Linked DNA regions of Lytechinus pictus. The protein of the gene in region 2 interacts with the protein of the main gene of each other region in a biochemical or structural test. Links are inferred from orthologs where the notes say so. Each region holds a gene or a part of one and is shown on either strand. Other genes may lie near its edges. The genes, in order: exodeoxyribonuclease-like and adenine DNA glycosylase-like.

Region 1 (8,990 bases), on a different chromosome or scaffold from region 2:
TCATATCAAACCTTTTCTTAAAATTCATCAAACTTCCACCATAAAGTAATCATAAATACCTACAAAATATGAAGATCTAAAAATGGCTGAAATCAATCGGCCTATATCTAAAAAAAAAACTTATCAGATTCCGATTGCGCCCCTCTTCGCATGTGACATGATTTTCACTTGTGGTTCGTATACCAAACATGTGTTTGGTATATTAACAAAAATCTATAATTAACTAATTTTTACCATATTTTGTTATTTTTAGAAAATAGATACTTCATAAATATGATTTTTTTCCATCATCTTTTTCTTTTGGAAAGATGTTGCAAAGTGCTAAATGTATGCAATATATACTGATACTGTACTGTATTATTTTCTTTATCTTCTTGGGCTTGTTACCACAAAAGACCACAAATAGTAGACAGGGATTTTATATTATGCCCCCCTTTCCAAAAAGTGAGGGACGCGTCCCCCTCGGGTTCCCGCCCATGAAGAAGGGAAAATAAGAGTAAAGAATAAAGTATTCAATGAAGTTTCAATCGAATTCAATTAAATTTTATTTTCTTCTGATTGACATTTTATCAAATTTCACATGAAATATAAAAAAATATTGAAATAAAACAATGAATGTAGGCCTATACAATATGTAAATTAGATTTATGAAAGAAGGCGTAACCCCCCCCCCCCCCACAGAAAGCAGGTATGTTATGCGCAGGGCCCGATGGGAGTATAGTAACGTTCATAAGAGCTGAAATGGCTACCCCGGGTAAAATAACAATATTTTTATCTGTATGAAATGAGAATTATTACTAAATATTCCCCATGAAAACGAGAGCTTATTTCCAAAAGGAGTTCTTAAGAAAGTCTTAAGTTTATAGAAATGTTGAAAATATATATTCTACGCTTTCTATAGTCGCTTTTTCCCATTTTATGGAATGCATATCACACATTTTCACAATTTTTTAGCCATTTTATGCAATGCACGTCGTACTACCCATTTGCCCTTTTCTTTTTTTTCTAACCCTTTTTTTCTCCGTTTCATGCTCTCCCCTCTTACTACCCATCCGCCCTTTCTGTTTTATTCGCCCTTTTCTCTCCATTTTATGCACTGCACGCCTTACTACCCATTCGCCCTTTTGTCTCCGTTTTCTCGCCCTTTTATCTCCGTTTTATGCAATGCACGCCTTACTACCCATTCGCCCTTTTGTCTCCGTTTTCTTGCCCTTTTCTCTCCGTTTATTAGCCGTTTTCTTTCAGTATCTTCACTCCTCTAACAGGATCCTTCGCCGTTTTCTCGCCGTTTTCATGGGGAAATAAATAGCTCCGCTTATATTGGACAATGATGGCACTTCATAATAATTCAATGTTTACGTAGGAAACCTAATGTAGCCGTTTTTTCTCCAAAAATTCTCCCTTTCATCGCCCTTTTCTAGCCGTTTTCAAAACGGCGAAAAAACTGCAACTTTGAATTTCCCATAGGTTATAACACACAAAACGGCTAAAAAAGGGCGAAAAAACTGCAGTGGCTCACTGTGTGTGTGCAGTGTCGAGGGGCCAGGCCCCACCCCCATTGGAGAAACAAAAGTATGAAAAAGTATGAAATTGAAAAAATAATGACAGAAGAAAAAGTGTACAAAACCATGTTGCTTCCTCCTACCCTCTCATTTGCAGGCTTTTTTTTCAGACAACTTTTCTAGAAAAGTGTGCCCAAAAATGAGCAAATTTTATCAAACAAAAAATGTTGCACAAATGTCTTTTCTTGTATGTTCAAGCAATGAATGATAACATTCTTTTGCTTCTCACTTGAAAATCAAAATTTCTCTCACAAAATGAAATGAAAAGCAAGTAATTACAATACCTCTACTTTGGTTTTCTTCTGATCGACATCTTTGTCATTGCTTGCTTTTGATTCTTGCTGAAAAAGAAAATAATAATTTGTTATTGCATTGCATGTCATATCCCTCAAAGCAGGAATCATGCTTTGGTAAATGTGACAAAAATAGAATAAAAGATATATATATAGGTTAAAAATGATAAAAATAAACTGGGTTACAAAAGAAACTGATAAAACTGTACAAAGGCACTGCACAAATTCTACTCAGTCAAAATGAACAATATTTTTACACAGACTGGCTTTAATAAGCACATATGTCAATTATTAAAGGAGAATGAAACCCTTGAAACCAGCTGAATCCATATCAAAGAGAAAAATCAAAGAAACATATTGTTGAAAGTTTGAGGAAGATTGAATGAATAATAAGAAAGTTATGAGCATTTGAATTTCGAGATCACTAATGCCATGTAGATCCCCCCATTGGCAATGCGACCAAGATCTGTGATGTCACACACGTACAACTCCCTCATTACTTTAGTACTTATTTCACTTATATTCTCACTTTTATAGTCTATCACAAGGTGAGGTGTTCTCTTTATGAGAGGACAAGTACAGAGGTTTCACAACATTATATCATTGATTAATCGTTTGTCATATGATTAGAATGAGCAAAAAGAGAGGTTTTGGGGTATATTTTCAGTGTCCAAAAGGGGAGAGTTGTTCATCTGTGACATCATAGATCTTGGTCGCATTGCCAATGGGAGGATCTCCATAGCATTAGTGATCTCGACATTCAAATGCTCATAACTCTTCTATTGCTAGTCCTATTTTACTCAAACTTTTGTTGATCTTATTCTTTGATTTTTCTGCTTTCACAAAAGCTAACTTGCTCCAAGAGTTTCATTCTCCTTTAAGAGATTGTTTCAATCACAGAGAGGCTATAGCCTCTCACATCAATTGGTTTCAGAATCCAAAGTCACAAATCAGTCTTTCTTTTGCCCTTTTGTGACTTTGGATTCTGAAACCAATTGAAGCGAGGGGCTATAGCCTCTCTGTGATTGAACCAATATCTTATAGTATACAAATGATGCACAGATTAGAGTGGGTCAGTAGGAACTGTGTGCACAAGGTAACTTTGGCATGGTTTAACCCATGAGGCGCATCCGAGTGGGTTTAGACCATAATGCCAAAGTTACCGCGTGCACACAGTTCCACTGACCCACGATAATAAGCTGTGCATCATATGTTTTATAGAATGGGGGCTTCTATTAAAAAAAAAAACTCAAAAAAAAGAAGGAAATTACCGGATTCAATTCAGAAGCCGCCCAGCCCCACTCGCAAGATCCTCGTTACGAGACATCTCAGTTCCCCAGCCCTGCCAAAATTGTCAAGAGTGAGCACCGCGTGCAAGAGATGCAAGTACGGTTTCGCAACTCTCTACATAACTACTAGCCGCTCCATGCATGGCTAGCGCTTGCAGTGCTATGGTGCAATGTACCTACAGTGCCGTGATCCCGTTCCATAGACCCTGTTTTTCACACCAGGCGGTATATATTTAGTTCCCAAGACCTTTTACTTTACCCTTTTAGTCAGTTCCTTAGACGCCATTTAAGAGTTTTGTGAGGCACACTCCCATCAAAAAATAATTTGAGTGCCCCCCCCCCCCCCCCCGGTTCGACCTTATAATTACCATCTTCATTACCAACCTGCATATACTCATGTATTCAAATGGATCATCATTCCTGATGACGACCAGAACACGCTGGTCGAAACGATAACAATTCTTTAAAGAGCTATCAAACAACCAAGAGAGATAAACAAACAGTCTTTTTCAGAACTACATGCATGGTGTTTACCTCAAAAGAACTTCCATTATTCTCTCCACCATGAAAACCTTTAAAGATCATCTTAGTCCCAACACCTTTTGAGAAAACTTTTCTATTCACCCCAACATAGACAGGGAATAATTTTCCTGGTATCGCATCGCAATTTGCTCCACATTTTTGAAAGACTGCTATGCTTCTTTTGTATAGCATACATGTATGTTTACATTGGTCTGGACATTACTAGTTTAGAGCTTTTCTCTTATGACCAAAAATTCTATTCAAATTTGTAAAGCAAAATTATTCCCTGATAAAGAACAGGATGTAAAATCCTCTCAAGTATCTTTTCAGGTCTAAACCACCTTTTGTTCATCATTTTCACACTCTTCATAGAATACTTGATATCAGTTTAAATCACTATTTACAAACAATTCACAAATAACCAGGGTGAGGGGTGGTTATAGGGACGTGCCACTCGAGCTGGGTTGCTTTCTTGCATTTAACATTTCTCAAAACTCTGGGGTTTTGTGTGCCAGAAGGTCCCCTAAATGGCGCAACGTTTGGAGTATAACCTACAAGTTGCTACAAAATATGGACATTCTTGATCTGAATAAGTATCCACTCATGTACATGTATTCTCTCTTATTGTCACAAAATATATCACAACTTTAAGCAAGTTCCTTTATTTTCTGTCAAATTGACCCTTAATGCAAATATGAAACAGGAGTCAAATCAAGTCCTCAACTACCCCTACCTGTGGCCTGTCAATCATCATAAAAGAGAAAAGAATACCACAATGTATAATCTATCATCAAAATCAAGCGTACGATCAATCGCTATTGTGTTACGGAACATTGGCCAGGCTTCTAATCCATATCATTCTCAGTAGTGGACTCTTGTAACATAAACCCACTTAATGGGGGTACTTCAGGCTGAAAATACTTATTTGAATTGAGTAGAATTCACCGAGCAGAATGCTGAAAATTTCATCAAAATTTGAAGAAAAATAAAATGTTGCCAATATTTTGTGAAAACAATTAAATGCATGCCTTCATGAATATTCATTAGGTGGGCTGATGTCATGTCCCCACTTGCCTTTTTCTTATGTTATTACTTAAAATCCTAATTATTCCATATTTCCTACATCTGTGTATGAAATATCTACCTTAGTTATAACAAAAGAAGTTGCAGCAATAATTATCTTACATATTGAATAAGATGTCAATCCGCTTTTTAAAATTTTTGGTGGACAAAGTTTGAAAATATATAATTTCATACAATAAAGTACAAGAATAAGTGGGGATATTGACATCAGTTTTATGTACTTACATGTATTGCATATTCAATGTGCATACATGTATAATAAATAATGCAAAAACTTTGTCATGACTTTGTTATTCCTTGTCCGACTTTGATGACATTTCAATGCTTTGTCTTCTTCTACTTCAACTGTTCAAATGGTGACAGGACATTTGCTCCTGCGACAATTGCTCGGGGCATAATTTTTGTCTAAGATATAGGGTTAGGGTTGCAATAGGGTTTTATGTTAACTTTAGGGTTACTAGGTTTAGGGCAGGGTAGTGTTAGACCCAGGGTCGAAGTTGGTAATTCGTTTAGAGTGTGGAATTTAGAGCGGAGCAATTGTCGCCGGAGCAAGTGTCATGGAACCGTTCAAATCATATTATTTTTAATAGCCTGGAGTACCCCTTTAAAACTGGGTATGAAGGACTATTAAATGGCACCCTCCCTCTGAAACAAATTATCTGTATGCCTCAGCAAAATAAATCAAATACCACTTGGAAAAAGTTATGACCACTTTATACCAATTATGACTTCCATATATATATCAAACTTTAAACTTTACAATATTGTGTTTGTACATGTTGGTGCAATGGGAAGTAGTATCTCATTTCATACATCATTTTCAGCTTCATGAAATACAGAAACAGATGGACATTTCAAATTGTATTGTTTCAATAAAAAACATTTTATTTAATATACAAAGTATATCGTTTTATGTACAAGATCAACGCCCCTTCAAGTAGCACTAAAGTATTTGACAAAATTTAATTACTGCTATGTACATAATGGTACATCTTATGAAATGTGTTCGAGTACAAGCCCTGTTTTATGTTTTCATGTGCTGAACTCTAACCAAATGTCACTCTAATAGCAGAGCTGCCAACCTAAACAAGAACATTTCAGTATTTTAAAGATGAAAATTCTTATTTTGGTGAGAAATCAGTACATGTATTTTCAAAGAAATACCATAGGACAACACGTAAAACTGAAACTTTAGAAATCAGTATTTTGCATGAAACCTTCAGTATTCTTCTCATTTTTCAGTACTAACCACGGAAAATCCGTACTACTCGGCAGGTTCGCGATGGGATGTTAAATGGATAGTCCGACATAGAGAAAAGTCATCACTTTCAACAGTAAGATCAGTACCTGCTGCACATCTTCCATTCAAAGGCCAAGTCCATCTGATCAAACAATTGATTTGATCAACAAAAGAAAAATCGAACCAGTGTTTTTATTGCAAACTTTGATATTTTCAATTGTACACGGATATATGTGATTATATTCTTATGTGTTTACTGTACCATTATTGTAAATATTACAAATCGAAGGTGGAAAATAAAAATTATTTAATTGAGTTGATATTGTTTCCCAACATTGCAATATTTATTATCTTATTTTGCTTGCAATGATGAAAAACAATATCTTCTCGAATATTTAAAATTACAATTTATGTCATTTATTGCGACTAAATCACAATATCATCAACTATACAAAATTGAAAATAAATAGAGTGCTTGACAGTGTCTCATTAGCTCTTTCATTTTCATACAGATAACTCACGCACGCAACTGCGTACCATTTTTTTTTGTCGTTCTCACTATGCAAACTTTTAATGCTGGCTATAAATGGTGCCAATATTTTGGCAAGAATTCCGTCAAATTCAACCTGAACCCTTATTAGCATCGAATGGCAACTTTGCCACACAATGGTAAATACTGCATAATCAATTTAATATTCTAATTGGTTAAATAAACATAATGTCATGATAATTTCAATGCATATCACAGAAATACCTTACTAAAATATTTCATGCAATGGGGCCCAGGTCAATTAATTTTTTTTTTCTTTTAAAAAAAAAAAAAAAAAAATTCGAATGGAGGCAATAACCATAAGTGGTGCCCATCGCTGATAGAATTGCGTTTAAAACAGAACTTGGTAAAATGAAGTGAGAGTCCAAAATGTACACTTCTCATAGGCTGGAAATCAAGTTGTTTTAATTCTTGGTAAATGTATTAATTTAAACTCTTTCTGCAACTTGGCCCACCTTTCCTAAAGAAAAGTTTTACCATCTCGGTAAGATACAACAAGGGTCTGTTTCACAAAACTTGTTATAGTAACAAACTTTCACTAATAGTTTCAAGCTACTGAAATCATTTGATTTTATTGGCCGATGGTATACTTCTTATAGATATTTATGTTTTGTATTTATATAGCATTCAGCAGGATAAAGCACGTCGGTGCCACTTAGCAGGTCAAATGATTATTGAAATTTTCATACTTCATATCAAAAGATTTCTTGTGTAAGGCTGTAAATACATTTTGCCATTTTACATTTTCGCAAACATGTAATAAATCGTTATACCATAATTTCATTATAACAGACGTACACACAGGTGGGGCTATGAGTGTATAAAGGGAATGGAAGTGAGAAGGAAGGGAACATTATATTGAATGTAGGTGAAAGGGGCGGGGTGGGACAGAAGTACATTGGGGATGGGGGAAGGATGATGAAAGGAGGTCAACCCTCTGCATTCCACTTTCTAAGCAGCGCGCGACACTGGCACCGGTCCGACGGTCCCAGACCAGTAAAAATTGCTGTCGGGCCACTTGTTTTTCAGAAATAGCCAGATTTACTAGCTCCGACATGACCAGTAAAATATGTATCAAACTGATACAAATGATATTTTCTCCTCTTTTGTAAATTATAAAAAGGCTCTGGCATCTTCAACAATGGCCCTCCAAAATTGAGAAATGGCTCTCATGAATTATGTTGTGGGGGGGGAATAAAAGCAATTAAAGTCAGCAAAATAAACTCAAGCCTCTTTTTATATTTTTCTTTACTTTGAGGGACCAGTAAATTTTAGGTTCGGACCAGTAAAAAGTTTGCCATCTACTGGTCCGACATGAACAGGTTGGATCTGTAGGAAAAAAAGGGTTAGTGTGGAGCCCTGTTCTAAGTATCCTCTGGTAAAAATCAATCGGTCTTGAGCCTTCATGTGGAGTAGATTGATCTGCAAACATCAAACTCTGAGAAAATCACTGGAAATGCCAGTCCTGTATAAATAAATGTCTCACTTTCAGGCTCACCACATTAATGCCCAACCATTGATTGAAGACTAGTCAAAACATATCCATGCTTGCTGCTGGTTTTGTCAGGCAAGGATGATGAGAATTCAGAGCTGCCAAGTTGTATTTTGCATTTTCAGTATTCTTATCCCCCAAAATCAGTATTTTGACAAAAAAATCAGTATTTTTACCGTGTGAGATAAATATTTTGTATTTTTCCCCCAAAAAAGTGTATTTCATAGTAAAATGTTTGGCGCACTCGCCCATCACGGCGCTCAAGCTGCATGCAGGCTAAAATGTGCACTGCTCTTGCAGATGAAAAAAAAAAAACATTGAAACTTGTGTATATCTCACCCTGGTTTTTACAAAATGATTGAAAAAAAAAACAAGTTACCTGAAATTACATTGATCTAATAAGCATATTTGTGTAAGTTTGATGAAATAGAGACATATAGAGATGATTTTTCTCAATAAATTTCGATTTTGTAAAAAAAAAAAAATTCAAAAAACGTACTGCCGTATTTTGGTTGCAAATACGTACTAAATACGGAAAAATCGTACTACTTGGCAGCTCTGTGAGATTATATATATTTTGTTTTTATAATACAGGACAATAGGAGAAATATACAAAGGAATACATAATTTTCATAAAAGTTCATTCTTCTCTGGGCGATCTTCAACACCAATTCCTTGGTAAGCACCCTATGCCCCAGATTCACAATGGTGGCTTTAGTTCTCTGGTTTCAAACTATGTTTAAAATGCATATTTCATCCTCAATTATGCTTAATTCTGCACGTATATTGAGAAGGCGTCCAATGATGAATGCGTGCTCTTGCCACAGGGAGCTAAGTTGATGCTTGTTACTATGGTTACTGTTTAGTCTGAAAAAAAAAACACCCCCAAAACAAATGAGGATTCATTAATGCTGCAAACTTTTGTTAGTATAAATCAGTGTCAATTTAGTGCACGGTGA
Region 2 (9,122 bases):
GATATTCGAATAGTTTTCAATATTTTTTATTCTGGGGCAGAACTGAGAATGTTCATTATTTCATTATGCATTTGCAGTACTACCCTGGACAATAAATTGACAAATTATCTTCTACCTGTACCATGTGAGAACAAACTGACAAATCAATGAAAATTCATGAATATTCATTGGAGGGATATAATAGAGAGTTTCTTTACCACATTGCTGCCATGACATTCTTACTGGTAAAATCGGCACCTATCAACCTCAACCGGGCAAGAACTCTGATCACATTGCCATCCACAACACCGGTAGCCTTGATAAAAAAACAATAAAAGAAAATATGAGCATATCTCACATTGCAATAAGTGAAGAAAATCTGTGATAATGTGACTGAGGAAGGGGAAGGTCATAACATTGTAGACCCTATCCCATCCCCTCCCAGTGCATCAAAATAATGCAGATAGGAAGCATGATAGCTCAGTCGGTACAGTAACGGAAATTGCAATCCAGTGACCCAGGTTTGATTCCCACATGGTGTGCTAGTGCCCTCAGTTATTTATCCTCATCACCAGGTCCCTCACAGAGGACCTTCAGCCATCAGTCCTCTGGTTGCTTGCTTACAAGCATTCATGCTTTCTTAGCAATCAGAAATCATCATCATCATTATATGCTGAAAATATGAAACCTTTATAATGTAAATATTGATTGATTTTGTGGGGGCAATATAATAATAAAAATAATAAAAAACATTCTACATGTCAGGGGGTAACATGGGCATTTCAAAATGTGCTTTTCCTGTTAATAACGTATTACTTGGGAACAAAATGTAATAGACATAATAATACAAAATCTTTCAAGATTAAAAACGACACAGATTATTGCCTTACAACAAATTACAAAAATTATTTGATGATGCGCAGATGCTGAAAAACAGTACCTCGTTGAAGGATATTGAGGCTATTGCTCCTGCTGTATAGCGGCCAACACCAGGCAGCTTCTTCTGAAGTTGTTCAGCGGTTCCTGGAATCTGACCATCGAGCTCATTCTTAACCTTGAGAGCACCCTCTAAAAGACGCTGCCCTCTAGAGTAATAGCCAAGACCTGCCCAGACTTCTCGCACTTCCTATAAATAGATATTATAATTAATCTAACAAGGACGACATTACCAAAGGTATCTTGAAAAAGAAATTGTAAATGCAAATCACCTTTCAAATGATTGGGGTATCACATAAGACTGACAAAAAAATTGTTTTAAACAAAGCAAAACAAAAATAGCATTAAAGCCTCTTAAGACTCCAAAAGTCAATGTCATTAACTTGAAAATGCTACTTAATGTAATCTGAGCCTAGTACATGACTCAGTTTCAGTGATATAATCAGCTTCCACACAGCTTTCCAGCCCCTTAATAAGATTGTCACTTATTATTGTCAGTAATTCAAAAGTTTTGAATGAAATTGCTGGAGTGGCTCCTAACAAAGCTCAAATTCAGTAGAACAAGAAACAGACAATTTTGCCATTATTCTACATATCATAAAGATTTTTATCAAAAATAATCATAATTGTAATCAATAGTAGTAAGTACAAATACATGTATCATAAATATCTACACCATATATGTGTGAAATGAAACTAGACTCAAATTCTTCTTATCTGTTTGTAATATAATTCTCACCTCTATAGATGCCTTTGACAGTGATTCAAGAGTTGGCCATTTCTGGAAAGATAGCGACAGACATTTCAGAAATTGTAATCATATCGAATGAAATTAATTTACATAATCGTTATATCATTCGATGGAGCAATGTCAGGTTTGTGATAAACAAAATCTTTAAAAAAAAACCTTGTTTAAAGAAAAAGTTGTAACACATTAAAAGAATGTCTATATCAATTCAAAATGTGTTTGAAACCAATATTTAGTGATAGTTTTCATACTGTGATTATTTAGATTTTATTCTCTGATTTTCACAATGTTAATATCATCAAGAAAAATAATAAGCTCCATGTAATTCAATTGACCAATAAAATTTAATTTAAAAAAAAAATCCAACTTGTTCAGAACTCAATAAGTCAATGTCTTTCACAATTTGTTTATATTCAAAAGGGGTTAAACAATTTTGCTATATGTACTTACTTTCATCCATTTGTTGTAATAATCAATCACCGTGGCAACCTGTGTCTGTTGACACATTATCTCAGAAACCCAGATGGCATATGCGTTATGATTAGTGTCTTCTCCTTTTATCTGCAAACAATAAAAAGGAATTTATGAAGGAAAATAACAAATTTATATGACAAGTCATATCACTAAAATGGGACTAATGGCAAAAAGGAGAATATTGAAAAAAAATAGATACTTGCAAGTAAAAATAATTTCAAATAACAATAAGATGCTCATATATGCTTCACAACAATAAATTCAATTTACCTATACAGCCAAAGGCAAAATAAGGTTTTGAGATATTTCACTTTACCAAGCAAATGTCCTAATCATATCTCAAAATTGTTTTAATCATATTTTTCTCCTAATAACAGCATAGGTAATCAATAACTAATGTGGACAGTTTTCATTCATTCATTCATATTTGAAAAATATGTTTATAGATCACTTTTATCAATACCATATATACTTTAATTTTTAATGAGGATTATATTGGAAAGCATTTCATGAAAAATTAATCTTGTCATCGATTTTCACAAATTACCTCAAAGCAGATTCGATGAAATGATTAGTAGCTTCCATCTATTATTAGTGAAAATCAATAACAAAATAGCATAACGGAAGTCTTCCTACTGTTCTAGTCTCCAACACAAATCTAAGCCTACTTACGTTTCTCCATGGCAAATCCCTCTTGTTTGCATCATACCACTTCAGTAATTTCTTACGCAAAGACTCGATTTCAGTCTCCGAAAATCTGTGAATAGGACCTCGTACCTGTGAATCTGATGAGAATTTGAATGATATTACCATTAGAAAGTAATACAATATACATGAAATATCCTTAATTACAGTTACTCATGTTCATACAGATAGAATAGCAATTTAGTAACTGAATTTATAACTCTGATCGATTGTTGTTATTTTTCCACTTTATGAATTGGAAAGGAAATAACATAGACTGCATTCTCCCTCTTTCTCTCATCATTGTTTTTAATTCGCTCTCCCAATAAATACAAGCTAGATCTGGCATACTCAGGCTGAAGTCAAAAACATTTAGGGAGCAGCTCCCCCAGACAAGTCAACACCAACAGAGATATAACAGATCATCAGATAGTCCAGCGTCCAAAACTGATAAGCCTATTAGTTACCTTCACTACATGAGTATCAGTTAGCATCATGATTGATGTCATCGATGATGTAGCCTTTTTTGCACTTGCACTTTTGCAGCACAACTTGGTAAACGTAAGTACATTAGGACTAACTCTTCTACCTACCGGAAATACTGTTGATTTTCGATGCCTTCTTCATCATGGACATAAATCGGGCAATTATCACTGATATTTGATGCTTCTTCAGATCTTCAAATCTGGAGCTGATACTTATCCCAAGTCTGATTCCATGCATACGTACTCACTGCACACAGCTTTCAAAGCTTGACACTCGACTCGCCCACGAGTTTGTTATGAAATGCATTTCGATTCGGCGCGCGCCTTGTTGAAAGGGAAAATCCCGGATGATTCCACTCAATCAATTAGAGGGGCTTAGCGTTAAAAGTATTGATAATATATCAGATTTTTAAACAATTATGACCCTTCTTTTATTCAATTAGAGTATTATTAATGCATGAATCAATCTAATTTATGATCTATCATGACTAAATTGATTTGAATTTCCTTTTCTTTTTTTGCGTAGTCTCGATACATCTTTTCAGCATGAATACGGTCTACCCTATCCCTGCACCCGATTAACGTTGACCATATAGAAAAGTCACAAATCGGTTAAACGTTAAGAAACGTTACGTTGACGAGGATTTCACTTTATCTGAGGCCAGCTTCCAGGAACAAAATGTCGTTAAATGTACCAATCATCGATGTTCATCGTGATAATTTTTCAGATTTCTGGCCTGCCATAAATTTAGCGATCCAGACAGCTTCATTTATTGCTATTGATGCAGAGCTCAGTGGTCTAGGATGCAGGAGAAATCTAATGGCAAAGTATGAATCCTTGATTATTTTGCATGATCCCATGCATTGAGTTTTGTGATGTGATTTCGACCTCTTCATTTTTCTAAAATGGTTCGAGAAAAAAATGAACAATGATAAAATTTATTTTATGATATTTGCTCATCACCTGGAGTGCTCATGAGTTCATGTTTTAACATTTGTTATAAATCTAAGAATAAGATTGTGATGGAATGGGAATGTACAATTTTAAAAGTATAATTTTGTGCTGGTATCAAGTTTTTTTTAACCATTAAACCAAAATAAATCTATAGATTTGAATTCCTTAAAACAAAAAGTTTTGCCTGAAGTGAAAGAAAAATTAAGTTATTCACAACATTGGGCCTGTTCATTCAATCCAAACACGGTTGTGACATAACCTTGCCTAGTATATTAAATCCATGTGAATGAAATTAAGTTGACAATATGTTTGATGTTTGGATATTTCTTTGTGTGTGCTTATTTTCTGTTGATGTATTGCCTTGGATGAATTTTGATCAGATATATCCTGTTGTCCTTGCCTCAAAAGTAAGTTAATTTGTATGAATTACATTTTAATTAAAAAACAAAAGGTTTGTTGGTTTCACCTCTGATATGTTCCCACATCTGTCTACAAGAGAAGAGATAAGAATATCCTGAAAATTGAGGCCTTTTTTTAGCTCTCTTGTGAAAGAAAGAAAAACCTAGTTCTAATGATAGAAAGATGATCAATGTGACTAATATATATTTTTTTACAATATAATTTTTCATACTGTTACCTAAGCTAAACTCAACAGACTAGGTGGTTGTAGACTGCAAGTGGTCATGCCCTATAGAATTTTTCCCTTTCAGCTTTTTATATTTTATTCCCCTTTTGTTAAAAGATTTTAATTGGATTCACTTTTTTTTTTAATATCTGTGCTCTCTTGCACATAACTTAGTAACTTTGCCATCCAATGGTAACTTACATGAAATTCTTGATTCTGATTGGCTTTTAATCATTGCTACCATGGTAGTTACCATTAGATGGCAAAGTTAGTATAATGTTAACCTGCCTTTTTTTGCAATGGACCCCAGTACCCATATTATTTTAAATCACTTTGAATACAGTCATTGGCATATACCAAGTTTTTGCTTCTACTGTTGCTGTAAATTCATTGTCTGGTTTTGTTCATTTCTTTTGTAGATCCATTGAGGATAGATACAAGTCTATTGCCGAGGTTGCCAAGACCAGGTCTATCCTTTCGTTAGGGCTATCCTGCTTCAAGATCCAAGATGAGGAGGACCAAAATGGTCCAGCTGACCAGACAGCAGCGGGACCAGGACCGGGTCCGAAATTCCTGGCCCAGACCTTCAACATCCTGACATTGTGTAATGAGGATTACATGGTAGAGCCAGGGGCTCTGCAGTTCTTGGTGGGACATGGATTTGATTTCAATAAGCAGTATTCCTGTGGTGTACCGTACTGCAGGGGACCTGATAAGGTAAGCCATCAACATTTTAAAAGTATTTTAGAAAGTTGAATATATATTCTTTTCCATAAGAGATAATGATAATATTATATGTCCATTTATATAGCTCAGTTACTATGTGCTTATACTCAACTGCGCTTTGATACTTGGTATCATATTATTACCCCGGCTGTAACTAAGCCGCCATATTAATAGGCGCTAAAGCGTTCAAGGAATAAATCCTACCGGGTACCCATTCACTTCACCTGGGTCAAGTGCAGCCCAATGTGGATAAATTTTGCCGAAGGAAATTACGCCATGGCTGGGAATCGAACCCACGACCCTCTGTTTCAAAGCTAGTCCAGAGAATAATCCAATGGGCCACAACGCTCCTCCAGATGGAGGAGGTGGAGGCATATGGAGGCAGGGGGGCAGTGAAGAATTAGCCCTTTCCTCATCAAGCTGATCTTTTCATTGAACCTTCTTCAAAATTAGTATAGTTTCATGATAGGATTTGTTGGATGCTATATGTGACAGTCTGTTTTTACCATAGTAACACAGTGGCGGATGTAAGTAATATAACATAATTTGTTAAAACAATAAATTTGGAATAGCAATTTCAAGCTACTAAAATCATTCAATTTGATTGGCGGACACTTGTTGCAGAAGATCATGGAACATGACCAAGATGATAAATAAATTGTTATCCACAAAATTTAGTTCTTACAGTAATATAATAGTTCAGAATTTGATTGGTTGGAGTGATTTTACCTGGAGAGTAATTTCAATCAGTTATCAGTGTATCATATTCTAATTTTTTTTTTTTTTGGGGGGGGGTTGTTTTGTGTACCGGTATCTTATTATTTTGTAGAGATGTTGTGGTTTAGTGATTCTGGCACTCGCCATTCAGAGGGTCGTGGGTTTGAATCCTAGCCATGGTGTGTTTTCCTTCAGCAAGAAATTAAGCCATGTTGTGCTGCACTCAAACCAGGTGAGATGAGATGAATCCTGGTAGGATTAATTTAATTAATTGAATGTACCAAGCACCTTTAGCAGCTGGACCTAAAGCCGGGGTAACATATAGTCCGCCATTGAATAAGCAACTAGATAATTGACGCCTCATATTATTATCAGTTGGTTGTTTTTTTATGTTTCATTTTATAAAGTTGTATTTTTTGTTATTCTGTTTCATATCAATACTAGAAGGAGGATAAATCGTGGCCTTCTCTCCGGCTTCTTTTCAACCACATCTTGGCTTCCAGGAAGCCCCTGACCCTTCACAATGGTCTAGTAGACCTAGTGTTTCTCTATCAGAACCTCTACACTGATCTTCCAGCCTCAAGTGCCCAGTTTGTTGCAGATCTTTACGAGATGTACTCTGGCGGAATCATAGACACCAAATATGTGGCAGAGTACGAAGCCCGGATGCCTGCATCGTACTTGGAATACGTCTTCAGGAAGAGGTATTAACTGCTTTTCATATTAGTCTTTGATTTCATAAAAGTGATAAAACTATCTTGAAATTTCAGACCATGACATTACAGAGGATGATTTTATGCATTTTTTTAAAATTATGACAATTAAATTATTTTGAATCTTGAATCTTATTAATAGTATCTAGACAGATTTTATCCAGACAAAAATAGATTGTTAATCTTTGCCATCATGATTATCATTCCCCAGTGATTGTTGTAGTGCTTTGATGTTCAACCTTTTCCGTGAGACCTATTTTTTCAAGGCCTCGGACTTGAGCATTCCTTGGCCTTAAAGCAAGCAAAAAGATTGAGCTCAAGCAAATGTTTATTATGCTTATGAAAATTTTCTTGAATTTAACTTTTACATTTTGTGCACATGAGCTGTCATTTGATTGCTGTTTCAACGATAGCATTCACATTGATGCAGTGCGAACACAAAGGAATATGTGCTCTCTATTTTGTCTAACGAAGATTTTTCCAACAAACTTGCTAATTCTTATGTGTAATGATTCAATCGAAGAGCTTGAAAACATTCAGAAAGTAATTGTTACCTTTTGTGTATTCGGCCCATCATTTTGTGTGACCAGTGATTCTCTTTATCCTTGAGACAAGAAAAGTAGGACAGGTTTTAAGATGTGATTTCATGAAAAACACTTGTCATCCTCATGGCGTGGTTATAGGCACCATGTTTTGTTTACCTGTGAGGAGTTGCTACATTTAAATTGCTTTATTTTGCTTCGTTTTAGCCAAAGAGACAATGCCATAAGAAAGCTGAAGGGACTCTCCCATGCCTCTGTAGTCTTCTGCCAATACTCTTCCGATATGAATGCTGTGGAATACCAGAGTTACCTACTACCTGCAGACTTCGAAGAGAGGCAAAACAAAGGAAATTCTGGAAACAAGACTACTGATGTTTGCGAAATCTATGCGGTATGTGGTTAATATATCATAATTGTATTTGTTTCCAGGAAATTTTTATGCCTTACAGCAAACAGCAACAATGAAAAAGAATCAAGATTGAGAAAACAAAATACATTACCAACCAAATATGAGGGCCGAATTAAATAATGTGGTAGGATAAAAGAGTGTACAACATTTAAGGAATTTTCCATTTGGTGTCCTTTGAGACTATACCCTAGTTTGATATGATCAAACTGTTCTTTTTTTGAAATATTTTCATTTTTTCTGTTCATCGAAACAATAACAGGATGTATATACTTTATTCTCCTTTTAATGGTTTATAGTTAACTATAAACTTTATTTTTCGTGTTTATAAAAGCTTGATTTCTCTCCTTCCTATTCATTGTTGCACTCACCAATGTGATAATGTTTTTATTTATTTATTAATTAGGCCCATGGATGTTGCGCCAAGGGGATCCACTGTCCAAAGTCTCATGATCCTAATGCAATCTTAGATTCCGAAGAGATCATCATCGAAGAAAAGCGTAAGCGCAAGAGGAGAAGGAGAAATCGCAAGAATCGTAACCAGGAAATGGACGTCCAGGATGGAGAGACTGATGAGAAAAGGATGAAAGATGGAGATGGTGAGGGAGAGGAGGAGCGGAAAGATGAAAGCCTGGATGTAGGTAGTACTGCGCCTGAAGCAAGTACAGGAGTTGGTGAGGAAACTGTCCCAGTGGTGAATGGTGATAACCCTGATCTTGGCAAGGAAAATGGCTCCGATGCTCCAACTGAGTTGAACCCTCTAACAGATGGTGTCAGTAGATCGAATCAGACCAAACCAACATCTCTAGCACCAAAGAAATCAGGAAGCCACCGTGCTGGCTTTGACGCCTTCATGACTGGCTTTGCTACTGCGGCTTTCATTGCCAGATTTGGATCAGCGAAGACTCCAGAGGGCAACGGACAGGTGCAGAGTTCGGCTGCCAGACCGATACAAGGTGGACAGTTCACCAGTCGTGTAGGACAGTTGGACCAGCCAAAATCCTGCGTTGACTGGTACGGCATTGGGCATTTGACCAATAAGTTGTACTTGAGCGGTAAGAACTATCCTCTAGCTGTGGCCAAGAGTTCCTTCACCAAGACTTCCTTGTTGCATAAGGATAAGATGGACATG

Evidence for each region.
Region 1: the proteins of adenine DNA glycosylase-like (region 2) and exodeoxyribonuclease-like form a complex in vitro, tested with the Homo sapiens proteins (3 studies listed by BioGRID and IntAct, with this or other methods). The link is inferred for Lytechinus pictus from reciprocal best matches to the Homo sapiens genes MUTYH and APEX1.

Annotation. Positions count from the first base shown.
Region 1 is NC_087248.1:18,625,900-18,634,889, reverse strand, and holds the start of exodeoxyribonuclease-like, read right to left. Parts: upstream 3,431-8,990; coding exon 3,404-3,430; intron 1,904-3,403; coding exon 1,847-1,903; intron 1-1,846.
Region 2 is NC_087255.1:22,397,601-22,406,722, forward strand, and holds the start of adenine DNA glycosylase-like, read right to left. Parts: upstream 3,604-9,122; 5' UTR 3,545-3,603; coding exon 3,415-3,544; intron 2,923-3,414; coding exon 2,810-2,922; intron 2,225-2,809; coding exon 2,114-2,224; intron 1,697-2,113; coding exon 1,655-1,696; intron 1,106-1,654; coding exon 920-1,105; intron 296-919; coding exon 198-295; intron 1-197. Other genes in the region: target of EGR1 protein 1-like, read left to right, coding at 3,986-4,134, 5,306-5,603, 6,774-7,033, 7,792-7,975, 8,397-9,122. UniProt on the Homo sapiens protein: Involved in oxidative DNA damage repair. Initiates repair of A*oxoG to C*G by removing the inappropriately paired adenine base from the DNA backbone. Possesses both adenine and 2-OH-A DNA glycosylase activities.